Linked DNA regions of Stegostoma tigrinum. The protein of the gene in region 2 interacts with the protein of the main gene of each other region in a pairwise test. Links are inferred from orthologs where the notes say so. Each region holds a gene or a part of one and is shown on either strand. Other genes may lie near its edges.

Region 1 (3,752 bases), on a different chromosome or scaffold from region 2:
AGTTCGTCCCCTCCCACCACTGCACCACACAACCAGCCCAGCCCTTCCCCCCCACCCACTGCATCCCAAAACCAGTCCAACCTGTCTCTGCCTCCCTAACTGGTTCTTCCTCTCACCCATCCCTTCCTCCCACCCCAAGCCGCACCCCCATCTCCCTACTAACCTCATCCCACCTCCTTGACCTGTCTGTCTTCCCTGGACTGACCTATCCCCTCCCTACCTCCCCACCTACACTCTCTCCACCTATCTTCTTTACGCTCCATCTTCGGTCCGCCTCCCCCTCTCTCCCTATTTATTCCAGTTCCCTCTCCCCATCCCCCTCTCTGATGAAGGGTCTCGGCCGGAAACGTCAGATTTTGTGCTCCTGAGATGCTGCTTGGCCTGCTGTGTTCATCCAGCCTCACATTTTATTATCTTGCATCTGTCATGTGTTTGCCTAACCAGCAGAACTTTCAGCCAATTTTAGGTCATGGCATTAAATAGATAGTTACTTAATACGAAATTGACTGAACGACATTAAATGGTAATTTTTAAATTAATTGTTTTCTCAGTTAAAAACTGTATCTCTGAATTTTTAAATGTAAGTGGTTTTTTTTTGGATCTGGACCAAGAAGAGAAACTCTCCAGAGCTTGCTCTTAGTACTCTTTCTTTGATTGACCATCTTGCAGTGAGAATCAAGCGATCTCCATTTGGCATCTAATGGCATCACCATCCCTGAAAGCTCCATCCAGATTTTGGGGCTTCCAATGCCCGTAAACTGAAACGCACAATCCATAGTGTTGCTCGAACAGTAGGTTAGAGGCTACAAATTCTGCAGCAAGCAACTCACTTATTGACTCCCCAAAACCTGTCCACCATCTACAAGGCAACAGAAACGTGACTGAATACTGCCCATTTGCCTGTGGGTATGCAACTCCAACACCAATGAAGAAGCATGAGAGCAACCAAGTAGAAACAGCCTGCTTGACTGACACAACCAGAAACAAACCCCCCCCGGATACATAGTGGCAGCAGTACATAAGATGCACCGCAGTAAGTCAACAATGGGTTATCTGACAGCACCTTCCAAACCTGTGACCGCTACTTCCTAGAAGAACAAAGGGCACATGAGAACACTTCCACCTGGAGGTTTCCTTCGGAGCCACTCAGAATCCTGTCTTAGAAATGTATTGCCATTCCTTCAGTGCTGCTGAGTCAAAATCCTAGAACTGACTCCTTAACAGCACCACGGATATCCATACACATCACGGACTGCAAAGATTCAAAACAGCTCAACATCATATACTCAAGTTCAACTGGGGATGGGCAAATGAGTGCTGGACTTACAAGTAACATCCACATCCAAGTAGGTCATGACAACACAAATTACCAAGACCTACGGTCAACCCATCTCCACATTTTCTCCCTCCAATATTGACATTCTCTGTTGAATTCCACAACACATCCATCCACTCCCTCCAGTTCACTCATCCACCGCCAGTCCAGTCTTTGGCTGTGAACATTAATGTGTAGGTACAGACTATGGCCTACCCAAGAGAGAAGCCTCCAGTAGTGGCAGTTGTTGCTGGCTGTGTTGGCAGGCAGAATCCAGTAGATGATGCGACTCCAGTAGTGGGAGTGCTGAACGAAAACAGACCAGTGCTGGGTGCTGAGGTGGCCGTTGTTGTAACCTGCTGGGGTGTTCCAAAGCTAAAGGTCCCTTGGGAGGCTGCAGTAGTGCTGCCAAAAGAGAACGCACTCCCTGTGCCTGCCGTCTTGGGAGCAGTGAAGGAGAAGCTGCCGCCTCCAGCCGGATTCCCAAAATTGAAGCTCATTTTGAAATCTAGAGAAAAATGGAAATTATCAGTCCACTGGTTGCAGCCTGTTAGGCTACATGCACACTCAACTAAGAGACTTAACCTCCTCCTTGCTCTAACCTACCCCACTCCATCCCCACATGGTCAGCAGTGAATTGAGGGGAATGTAGGTTAGGTTATTTTAGTTTTGGATTAGGATTATTCCACGGTACAACATCGTGGGCCAAAGGGCCTGTACTGTGCTGTTCTATGTTCTATCCCCATCCACCTCACCCGAAAACCCTGCCTCACCCCATTCTCCCATCCCACCTCTTCACCCAGCCCACCTCTCCAGATTAGATGTCTGTCTCTTGGGGCCGACTTGATGTTCTTGCGGTCTCACCTACCTTGGGGTTCCGGTCTGATTCACGGAAGATCCCCTATGCAAGAACTGGCGCAAACGACAATGGACTCTCTAGGCCGATACCGAAGCGATCTCGCTCCTCTTTTCGGCCCCCTCTATATCCGGCCCTAAATGATCCCGCTCTCTCACAGGTACTGTACGAACAACTTCGCTCGCTACACACCTCCCAAGCCCGCTCGCTCTGATTGGCGAAACCGTGCACCCATCCCCTCGATCCAGCATCGTCGCTGCTGATTGGGCCCCGAGGGCGGGAAGTGCATTGGTCCAGGGAGCTGTCAATCAAACCTAGCCGCCATGTCCATGGTTCCCATAGCGACGAGAAGATTCGCTGGAATAGTAAGTGTGAGGAAGGGAAGTGAGGGGTATAAAGGATGAGGGTGTAGGGAGTGAAAGAAATCGAATGAGTTAAAAAGAGAAAATTTGAGGCAGGGTGTGGAGAGGGAGAGAGAAAAGACATTGAGTACGTGAGTAAAGAGAAAGTTTGAGGGAGGAAGGGACAGAGACAGCGAGGGAGAGATGTAAGTGATAGAAGGAGGTAGGGAGAGAGTGAATGCGGAAAGAGTGCGAGGGAGTGTGAAAGGCTCATCAGTGGAATAGGCTTGACAGGATGAAGGTAGGAAGGATTTTAAGATGAGGCCTTCTGGGGAATGTGTAGTGGTAGGGAGAGAGGAAGGATGAAATATTGTTTTTTTTCTTAGTGTTTAAAGTATATTTTCTGCAATTGTAACATGTGCCGCATCATAATTTATCTCAGCGAGTAATTGCTCAGTGCACCTTTGAGACTACATATGACTTTGCTTCAGCTCCGAAACGTGTAGAACAGCAGATCAGTTATTATCCTAGTTTTTTTACACAGTGCAGTGTTTCTTGTCGCTTGCTTTACTTGGAATAAGTCATTAGCCTCTTGCCAGAGGCTTAGTGCAAGGGATGCCACTCCTCATCATGCATGGCTGACTGGAAAACTCTCCACTCTCACTGCCTTGGTAAGGAAGTCGGAAGGAATTTGCTGGTAGATGCTCCAACCTGTTTGGCCAACTTTGGCTTCTAAACAGCAACAGGGAGGTGGGGGTTTCAGTTGGTAGTTACTTTTTAAAAAAAGGAAAGCAAAGAGAACACATTGAGGAAATTCCAAAGGCAATTTATCAATGTATTGGGGGAAGAAAGTAACCAATGAAAGAGTTGGGACAGAAGTGGCCACATATATAGAGCTGAGGTTTTAAATGAGTACTTTGTGTCTGTATTCACTATAGAGTAAAAAATGAAGGTATATAAATCAACAAGGGGGGGTTGCAATATATTTTAATAAATTCGAAGAAGACACCAAAAAGGTTGATGACGGTAGAGCAATAGATATTGTTTATTTGGATTTCAGTGAAGCCTTTGACAAGCTTCCGCATGGTTAGGTCACATGGGATTCAGAGTGAGCTTGCCAACTGGATACATGATTGGCTTAATGCAGAAGACAGAAAGTATTGGTGGAGGGTTGCTTTTTGGACTGAAGACATGTAACCAGCCGTGTTCCACAGGGATCAGTTCTGGGTCCTCTCTTGTC
Region 2 (3,752 bases):
ATAAAACTGTTTCATACAATAGGCACAGCAAACTAACCAAAATTAATTTAACAGGCATAATTTAAAAGCAGATTCAATTTCTGAACCAGCCATATTACCCACTCAGGCTATAAAAGATAGATGCAATTTTTTTTCTAAAGTTTGCATTCATTTAACAAACTTCTGAAAACATTCAACAGGGAGACAATCACTGACTTGCTGATCAATACCTATGAAAACATTCTAATCCTATTTTCAATATTGCTTCTTCTCTCTCAGTTCAAGGTCATAATCAACATTTCCTTGAAGTGTCCTTATCCTCAGCTGTAATTAAGTCATTTCCCCCACACATTGTTTCTCCCAAATTCAAAACCATACAGCTCCTTCATGACTGTTTCATGCAATGCAAACTTGGAATTGGCAGTTTAGTATTTGGTTCCATTCTCCTGTTCATGTTTGAATGGCACTCTGCAGAACAAGCTATGGCATTTGCTGTCACCAACAGTTGCCCACTAACTTCACCCGCACGATAATGACATCCAGTCAGTCACTGTCTTTGAAAGTAGTTGGCATACAGCCTCCCACACAGATGCAGTGGATATTTTACAGCAAATCCATCGTTCATTAGTCTTTACAAAATTCTTTACTCGGGAATATGTACACGTGCGATTTTTTTGCGGGTGGAGACGAACAGTGAGGAGGGGAGGGAAAAAAAAAGCAAAAGATCCGACCTCGAATTATTCCAACAAATGGAAATTAGGATTTTATTAGCCAGATCAGGGCAGATCCCAGCCAACTAGGACAATTACCCTCGTAACCACAAGACAGCATTCTTAAAAACAGCCAAGAATGCCTGCCAGATTTTCCATCAAGCTCAGAATCATGGAGTTAAGAACACACGATTCAGAATCACACCGCAGTCGGGGGGGGGGGGGGGGGGGGGTTAAAAAAAATGCCAGGCAAAGTAAGTGCCAGAGAATGTGAACCAGATACTGAATTCTGAAGAAAAGACGGAGTTAAGGGGCCGTGATTGAAAGCTGAAGACAAACGTAGCTTCGGGAGACCCTCTGGTTACGGAAGGTACAACAGGTCGAAAAGTCAGGGAGGCTGAAAGCCCCTCTGTTCCCAGCCGGAGTGGGGTGGGGGGAGGAGAGAGAGAACGGGGAAACGGACAACTCCGATCCATTCTCTTTCCCCCCACGCCACCGAAGGGAAAAGCGGGCGGAGGCGAGGGCAATACGAAAGCCGGTCTCCACGACATTCACCTGGGAGTACGGGCGAGAGTGGTGGTGGTGGTGGGTGGGGGGGTTCCGGCTCGGCCTAGCCGGGGAGAGGGTTATGAGGGGGAGCCGAGCCACCAGCCCGGGACCCCCCACCCCCAAACCACCTCCCCTCCGGACCGCCGATCAGAGTTGGCCCCCGTTGTCCCTCGCCTCCCCAGTCCGGTCTCTCACCTGGATGTAGTTGCTCTCGCAGTACTCGGCCACCCGGTCCAGGTTGTGGTAACTGTCCAAGAGCGCTCGGCGACCCGCGGGGATCTCCTCCTCCAGCAGCATCTGCAGCTCCGCCATCTTCCCCACATCTTCCGACACTGGGGATGCGGGACCGGAACCGGAAACAGGGGGAGGTGGGGCGGAGAGGGGGTGCAGTGGGGAGGATGGACTCACTTCCGGAAAGCCTGCCCTCACACCCCTCAAACCACACACCAAACCCCCCTCCCCCTACTGTTCTCTCTCTCTCTCACACACACACGCATATACAGCCCTGCATGGCAACTCGAACAACCAAGATCTCCCTTAGCAACCAACACCCCAGCAACCATCATTCCCCTAGCAACCAGGATCCTTCTTAGCAAACAGCCTAGCAACCAACATTCTCCGTAGTAACCACCACTCATCCTAGCGACCATCACCCGCCCGGCAACCAGCGCACCCTAGCAACTATCATTCACCCCATCAACCAGCACTGATCCAAAAGATCCAGCACTCAACTTAGCTGTGATCATCTCCCCTCGCAACCAGCATTGACTCTACCAATATCATTGCCCGAGCAACGAGCACTCATGCTTGCAACCAGCACTCAATATAGCAGCCATTATTATCACCAGCAAAGAGCACTCACCCTAGCAACTATCATTCCCTTAGCAACCAGCAAGCACTATAACAGTCTGCAATCATCCTAGCAACCACTATACACCAGGAACACGCCCACACACCCTAGCAACAACACACGCTGTGGATCATAATTATTCCAGAAACTAACACACCTTGACAAACAGATCTCATGCAACCATCATCTCCCCAAGAATCCATAATTTTTCCAAGCAACCAGAATTCTGCTCGTAACCAGCATTCACGATGGCAACCTTCAATCATCCCTTCAGGAACCGGCAGTTCCCCCAAGCAACCTTTAAGCATTCCTTCAGGAACCAGCATTCATCCTAGCAATTATCAATCATCCCAACAACCAGAATCAAGCTTAACAACCAGCATTCAGCTTAGCAAACATCATACACCTAGTAACCAGCACTTATCAAAGCAATCATCAACCCCCCTCGAAACAAGTAATCGCCCTGTCAATCAGGAAACAGTCTACCTCTAACAACTATTGTCCTACTCGTACTCACTATAGGAACCATCATTCCACAAAACCAGCACTCACCCTAGCAACAATCATAACCTCGTAATTTTTATCATTCCTGGCAACCAACATATACAGTACCCTCAGAACAGTTGCACACCGCAGCAAAAGACCACTATAATAGTGAGAAAACAGGTACTCCAGCAGCTGATAAATTTCCAGGAACTACAAATCAAAGGAGGTTCCAACTAAAATAACCACACCCTGACACGCAGGAAGAAACATAAAAATCAATCTACACCTTAGCCTGCTGATTTGCATAGGAAGAGAGGCAGCATCAATAACAAACCATTGACCACAGCAATAGCTACTTTAAGTAGTAATAGGCTCACCATACCAGTTAGGTCACAGGCATGTAGCCTTCAGTTCTGAAGCTTCATTAAAGTTTATAATGTCTGATTCGTTTTCAACTTAATTCAAATGAAATGCATTAACATGAAGAAAAGTAAGAACAATGTTTTTATTGTATGGCTAAAAGGCTAATCAATATGCTACACTTTACACTTTCAATTCATTATCTTGCAAAAATATCAAAAAATATAAAACTGCCTCATAGCTATGGATAATGTCTTTAGTTGGAGGAATAGATTTTTATGGTTGTTATCATCATTGCTTCTAACATAGCTAGGATATGCTAGAACAGAAAATGCTATTAGAAACCACAAGAATCCATAGCTGAAAAATTTCTTTAATTCCATACACCTGCAATTAAAGTTTGTTTCAAAGATAAGTTTACTGACAATATGATTGTGTAAAAGGCTCAAAAACAAGTTTCAAATTTTAATCTATTTAGTTTTATTGGAAAATGAATATGTACATTGAATTTATGTATTATATATGCAACAGTCATAAAGACTTGGCAATTTTTCAAGTGTTTTCTTTAGAAATGCCTTTTTATCTTGTAGCTTCCAATTGATTTTATTTTTGATTTTTTTTAAAAGGCTCTTCAGCTAAATAATCCTGAACGCTGTACTAAGTAAAGAATCTAGAAAATACTTTAAGGCTGCAAAGGAATGAATGAGACTTTAGTAAGAAACTAGCTCAATCCACAAAGCAGTTAGCTGAAGTACACTTTTGTTATTAGGATACATTTTGAAATTAGGATGGAAGCATCAGATTTCTGGATGAGCAAT
Region 3 (3,752 bases), on a different chromosome or scaffold from region 2:
AAGAGAATGAACGATTTCCTTACAACATCTAGCAGTATTTCCAGCATTCGAATGCCGACAACACCTTAATTTACACCATTAACCAGAAAGATAACTGGGCCTGCCAATACTGTCTCCCCAAAATATGTCCATTATCAACAAGGCACAAAAAAGGCAAGATGCATTTATATAGTGCTTTTCCAACATCAGCACATGCCAAAACACTTACTTGAAAAACAGGAATTGCAAAAGGCTACTTCCACAGAACAAAGTACAACCAGATAATGCATTCTGGTGAAGCTAAGGAATAAACATAAATTAGCTCGTCAGTACATGATAGGATACTGTCCCCATGCCTGATTAGTAAAATATCAACGATAGCCAAAAAGACTGGCATTCACCCATGACTTAAATATAATTGCCTTCACCCCCAGCACATCTGAAGCGCAAAATCTTGACGCAGTATCTTGCCAATACATCTTCAATCAACATCATTGTCAAAATCTATCACTACAAAGGCAACAGTCGCATTGTGACATCACCGGTTCCACATTTTCTTCCAAGTCTTATGCAATACTCACTTAAAAATAAATACTATTTCTTCATTGTTATTGAGCCCAAATCCTGGAACACCTCTCTGTAACCCCATACAAACATCACTTTGGGAGTATCTTAATCACACAATAACTAGTGTTGCTAACCACATCCACATTTCATAAATGGATAAAAACGTTGCATAAAAGGAGCCTACACCTCGTCACAGTGAGCCCTCTATACTTGTTTGGAAAAATAAACTTTATCTAAATATGAACTCATGCACTGATGGGTCTAGGCCCGAAACGTCAGCTTTTGTGCTCCTGAGATGCTGCTTGGCCTGCTGTGTTCATCCAGCCTCACATTTTATTATCTTGGAATCTCCAGCATCTGCAGTTCCCATTATCACTGATGGAGTAAGTTGCTTAGGTAGAATACCAAGTATCCAGGTGTTACATTTTATATTACTGATCAGTCAAGTCAAACTCCAGACATTTTCTGGAACTATAAGCTGAAATGCATCTGAAGAAAATGACCACCTTGGGAAAGAGAACCTGATTCTCATTCTCAAACATCTACATTTGAGGAGAACGGAAAACTGGTACTCGAAGGCAGTGCAAGGTACACTGCTGGGACAGAGTAAAGAGAACTTTAAGTTCTATTTAAATCGTACTAAAATCAGACAAACCTGGGAATGCTTAAAGATGACATAGTGTCCAGAAAATGTGGAAAAAAAACGAAGAATCTCGCACGACCAAACATTCAAAGTGAATGTATTATCTACAAATGTCTTGCAAGTGACAAATCTGGCTTTTGTCCAATCAGCAGTAAGCAGTATTCTCGAAATAGGAAATACAGACAGACGACCTATAGGGAGTTATCGAAGAGTAATGTGTGGTAACTCCAGTTTCCTTAACTTGCTATTTACTCAAAATGCATGGTGTGGAAAATTGTTGCTCCTATTCTTGTCTAGCAAACTGTGCTGACTTATTGGGTGCATTGGATAGATTTCAAACCAAGTGTAGTTTTAACCTAGATATAAAAATCTGAATATTGTCAATCAAAATGCATAGAGAAATCTAGTTACTTAACATAATTTCATTTTGTGCCTGAAGAGATGAAACTGATGCAGTTTTCTTCTGACAAAAGATTTGGGTTTAGTCACATTTCAATAGCACCATTTTCAAGGTACATGGGTTTTAGTTCCATATTAATTATATTAGCCAAGCTTGAAGTAACTTATTAAATATTTTCAAATAAATGGAAAACTGTACAGAAAGAGAAACAAAACAAATTCCTACATATAAGTAATTATGTAGAACAGAAAATTTGATAAAAATGGAAAATTCAGGAGGAAATGGTAAAAAAATTCCAATGAATAAAGTATATTTTAACAGCTTTTCAACTGTAATCCGATTGTTAACATACTGAAACAATTTTTGTGTTACCCAAAGATTAATCGTGCTCATTAGTATTTTTTCTGACAGATATTCAGGATGTAACATTTACTTCTCGGTTGGAAACTTTGTAACAGCCTGCCAGCTATGGCAAATAGTGAGCTTGGGGAAGGCAATAAAGATGTTTTACCTACAGCTATGATACTGCACAGAACATCTGGTTTAGTGAGTAAAGGAAACGCCACTAAATGGGCAGAAAAAAGAAAATCTTTGTGCTAAGAACAGTCTACGTTTTGTGAGCGCCTGTCAGAGGTGCAATCTGGCAAAATGTGTCATAACTGTAAGGTCACGTACTGAGCCAGACTCAAGCAATCAGTTTTTGTTAGACATCTGGTCCTGTTCCACCCGCCATCAACAAGGGGGAAGAGGAATGAAAAAAAATTGAAGCAGCAACTTCAGCATTCCAGAATGTACACATCAGGGCTCTGATAGCAAGAAAAATAAACAGAAAGAAGGAAACCCTGTCTAGACTGAGCTGCTGCTGGGGCTGAGGCAGACACTGGGCTGGTATTTACTGAGAGGGACTGCCAGGCAGCACTGCCAGGTAAACAGTGAAGTAGAAATGAATAGGAAAACGTCACTGACCATAGATGAGGACCACAGACTCTTCAATTGCGTGTTGGTAACTAAACTGGGAGTCCAACAAAGCTCGACTGACGAAAGAGCCATAGTAGGTTGACTGGTACCAGCCAACATGGAGGTGGTCTATGTTAACATGACGCAAGCTTCTCATCATTTCCATTTGGTATTGAACTGTAAAACAAACAGAAAGAAACCATTTTTTTCAATTTTAAGCAGAGTTACAATCAGATTTACACTGCTTAAATATTTTATGATCAGATTCTGTCTATGAATGATACAACACAAAACATTAAACACCATTCTCAAGTATTAACCCTGCAGAGTACTGTTACATATATTTGACACAAAACCTATTGGTACCACTTGATAATTATCTCTCAGTCTGATCCCTGCTGAAAATCTACTCCTGGTCAGGACTTAAGATTCAAGCACATTATTACGCTTATGTGTAAAACTTCTGCAAGTCAGAAAAAAACATGCACATGATAATTTACTCCAGCGAAAACTTTAGAATTACTAGTCTAGATAATTGGAAACTATTTAGATAGTGGGACATACCACATAACATTCAATACTATCATTTGGTTACACGTTCTTTAACTTGTACAGAATAAATAATCAATCTGTAACACTCACACACATTATTATTAGATATTAAAGTATATAATAATGATGATCACCCAAGATCGTAGAGGGCTTTCACAGATGTCCAACTTACTTTGTGCACCAATTGCCATTATTTGGGCTAGAGACCACAAAAGATACAATTTTAACCCATTTTCTTTTAAAATACTGTTTACAGAAAGTCTAAAATGCTCAACTTCAAAATACAGAATAGCGGTTACATCCAAGACACAATTTCTACAAGGTTGATACGTCAAAGTTGACCACACTGAACTTGCCTACTACTCAAATCTCAAAACAATCCTTTGTTGCTTTAAACTAGAAACATGCCTGATGGCTTATAACCATTCCAAACAACCAGAGTATTTAAAATCTTCGAGATCTATTAGGGATTGGACAATACCCACACAAGAACAGGATTAGGCCATTCGGCACTCAAACCTGTTCCATCATTCCAGATAATGGCTGATCATCTATCTCAATGCCATATTCATGCAATATTCCGACTTCTCTTGGTATCATCAGTAACTAGAAATGTGTAAATGTCTACTTTGAACTTAATGACTGAAATTCCAC

The links.
Region 1: the proteins of abl interactor 2 (region 2) and nup62l interact in binary tests that used the Homo sapiens proteins (3 or more experiments, as listed by UniProt). The link is inferred for Stegostoma tigrinum from reciprocal best matches to the Homo sapiens genes ABI2 and NUP62.
Region 3: the proteins of abl interactor 2 (region 2) and eif3hb interact in a two-hybrid assay, tested with the Homo sapiens proteins (2 studies listed by BioGRID and IntAct). The link is inferred for Stegostoma tigrinum from reciprocal best matches to the Homo sapiens genes ABI2 and EIF3H.

What each region holds. Positions count from the first base shown.
Region 1 is NC_081368.1:73,416,606-73,420,357, forward strand, and holds the start of nup62l (nucleoporin 62 like), read right to left. Parts: upstream 2,372-3,752; 5' UTR 2,184-2,371; intron 1,824-2,183; 5' UTR 1,816-1,823; coding exon 1,532-1,815; intron 1-1,531. UniProt on the Homo sapiens protein: Essential component of the nuclear pore complex. The N-terminal is probably involved in nucleocytoplasmic transport.
Region 2 is NC_081360.1:20,332,273-20,336,024, forward strand, and holds the start of abl interactor 2, read right to left. Parts: upstream 2,774-3,752; 5' UTR 1,551-2,773; coding exon 1,434-1,550; intron 1-1,433. UniProt on the Homo sapiens protein: Regulator of actin cytoskeleton dynamics underlying cell motility and adhesion. Functions as a component of the WAVE complex, which activates actin nucleating machinery Arp2/3 to drive lamellipodia formation.
Region 3 is NC_081358.1:13,626,067-13,629,818, reverse strand, and holds the start of eif3hb (eukaryotic translation initiation factor 3 subunit H-B), read right to left. Parts: upstream 2,719-3,752; 5' UTR 2,713-2,718; coding exon 2,556-2,712; intron 1-2,555.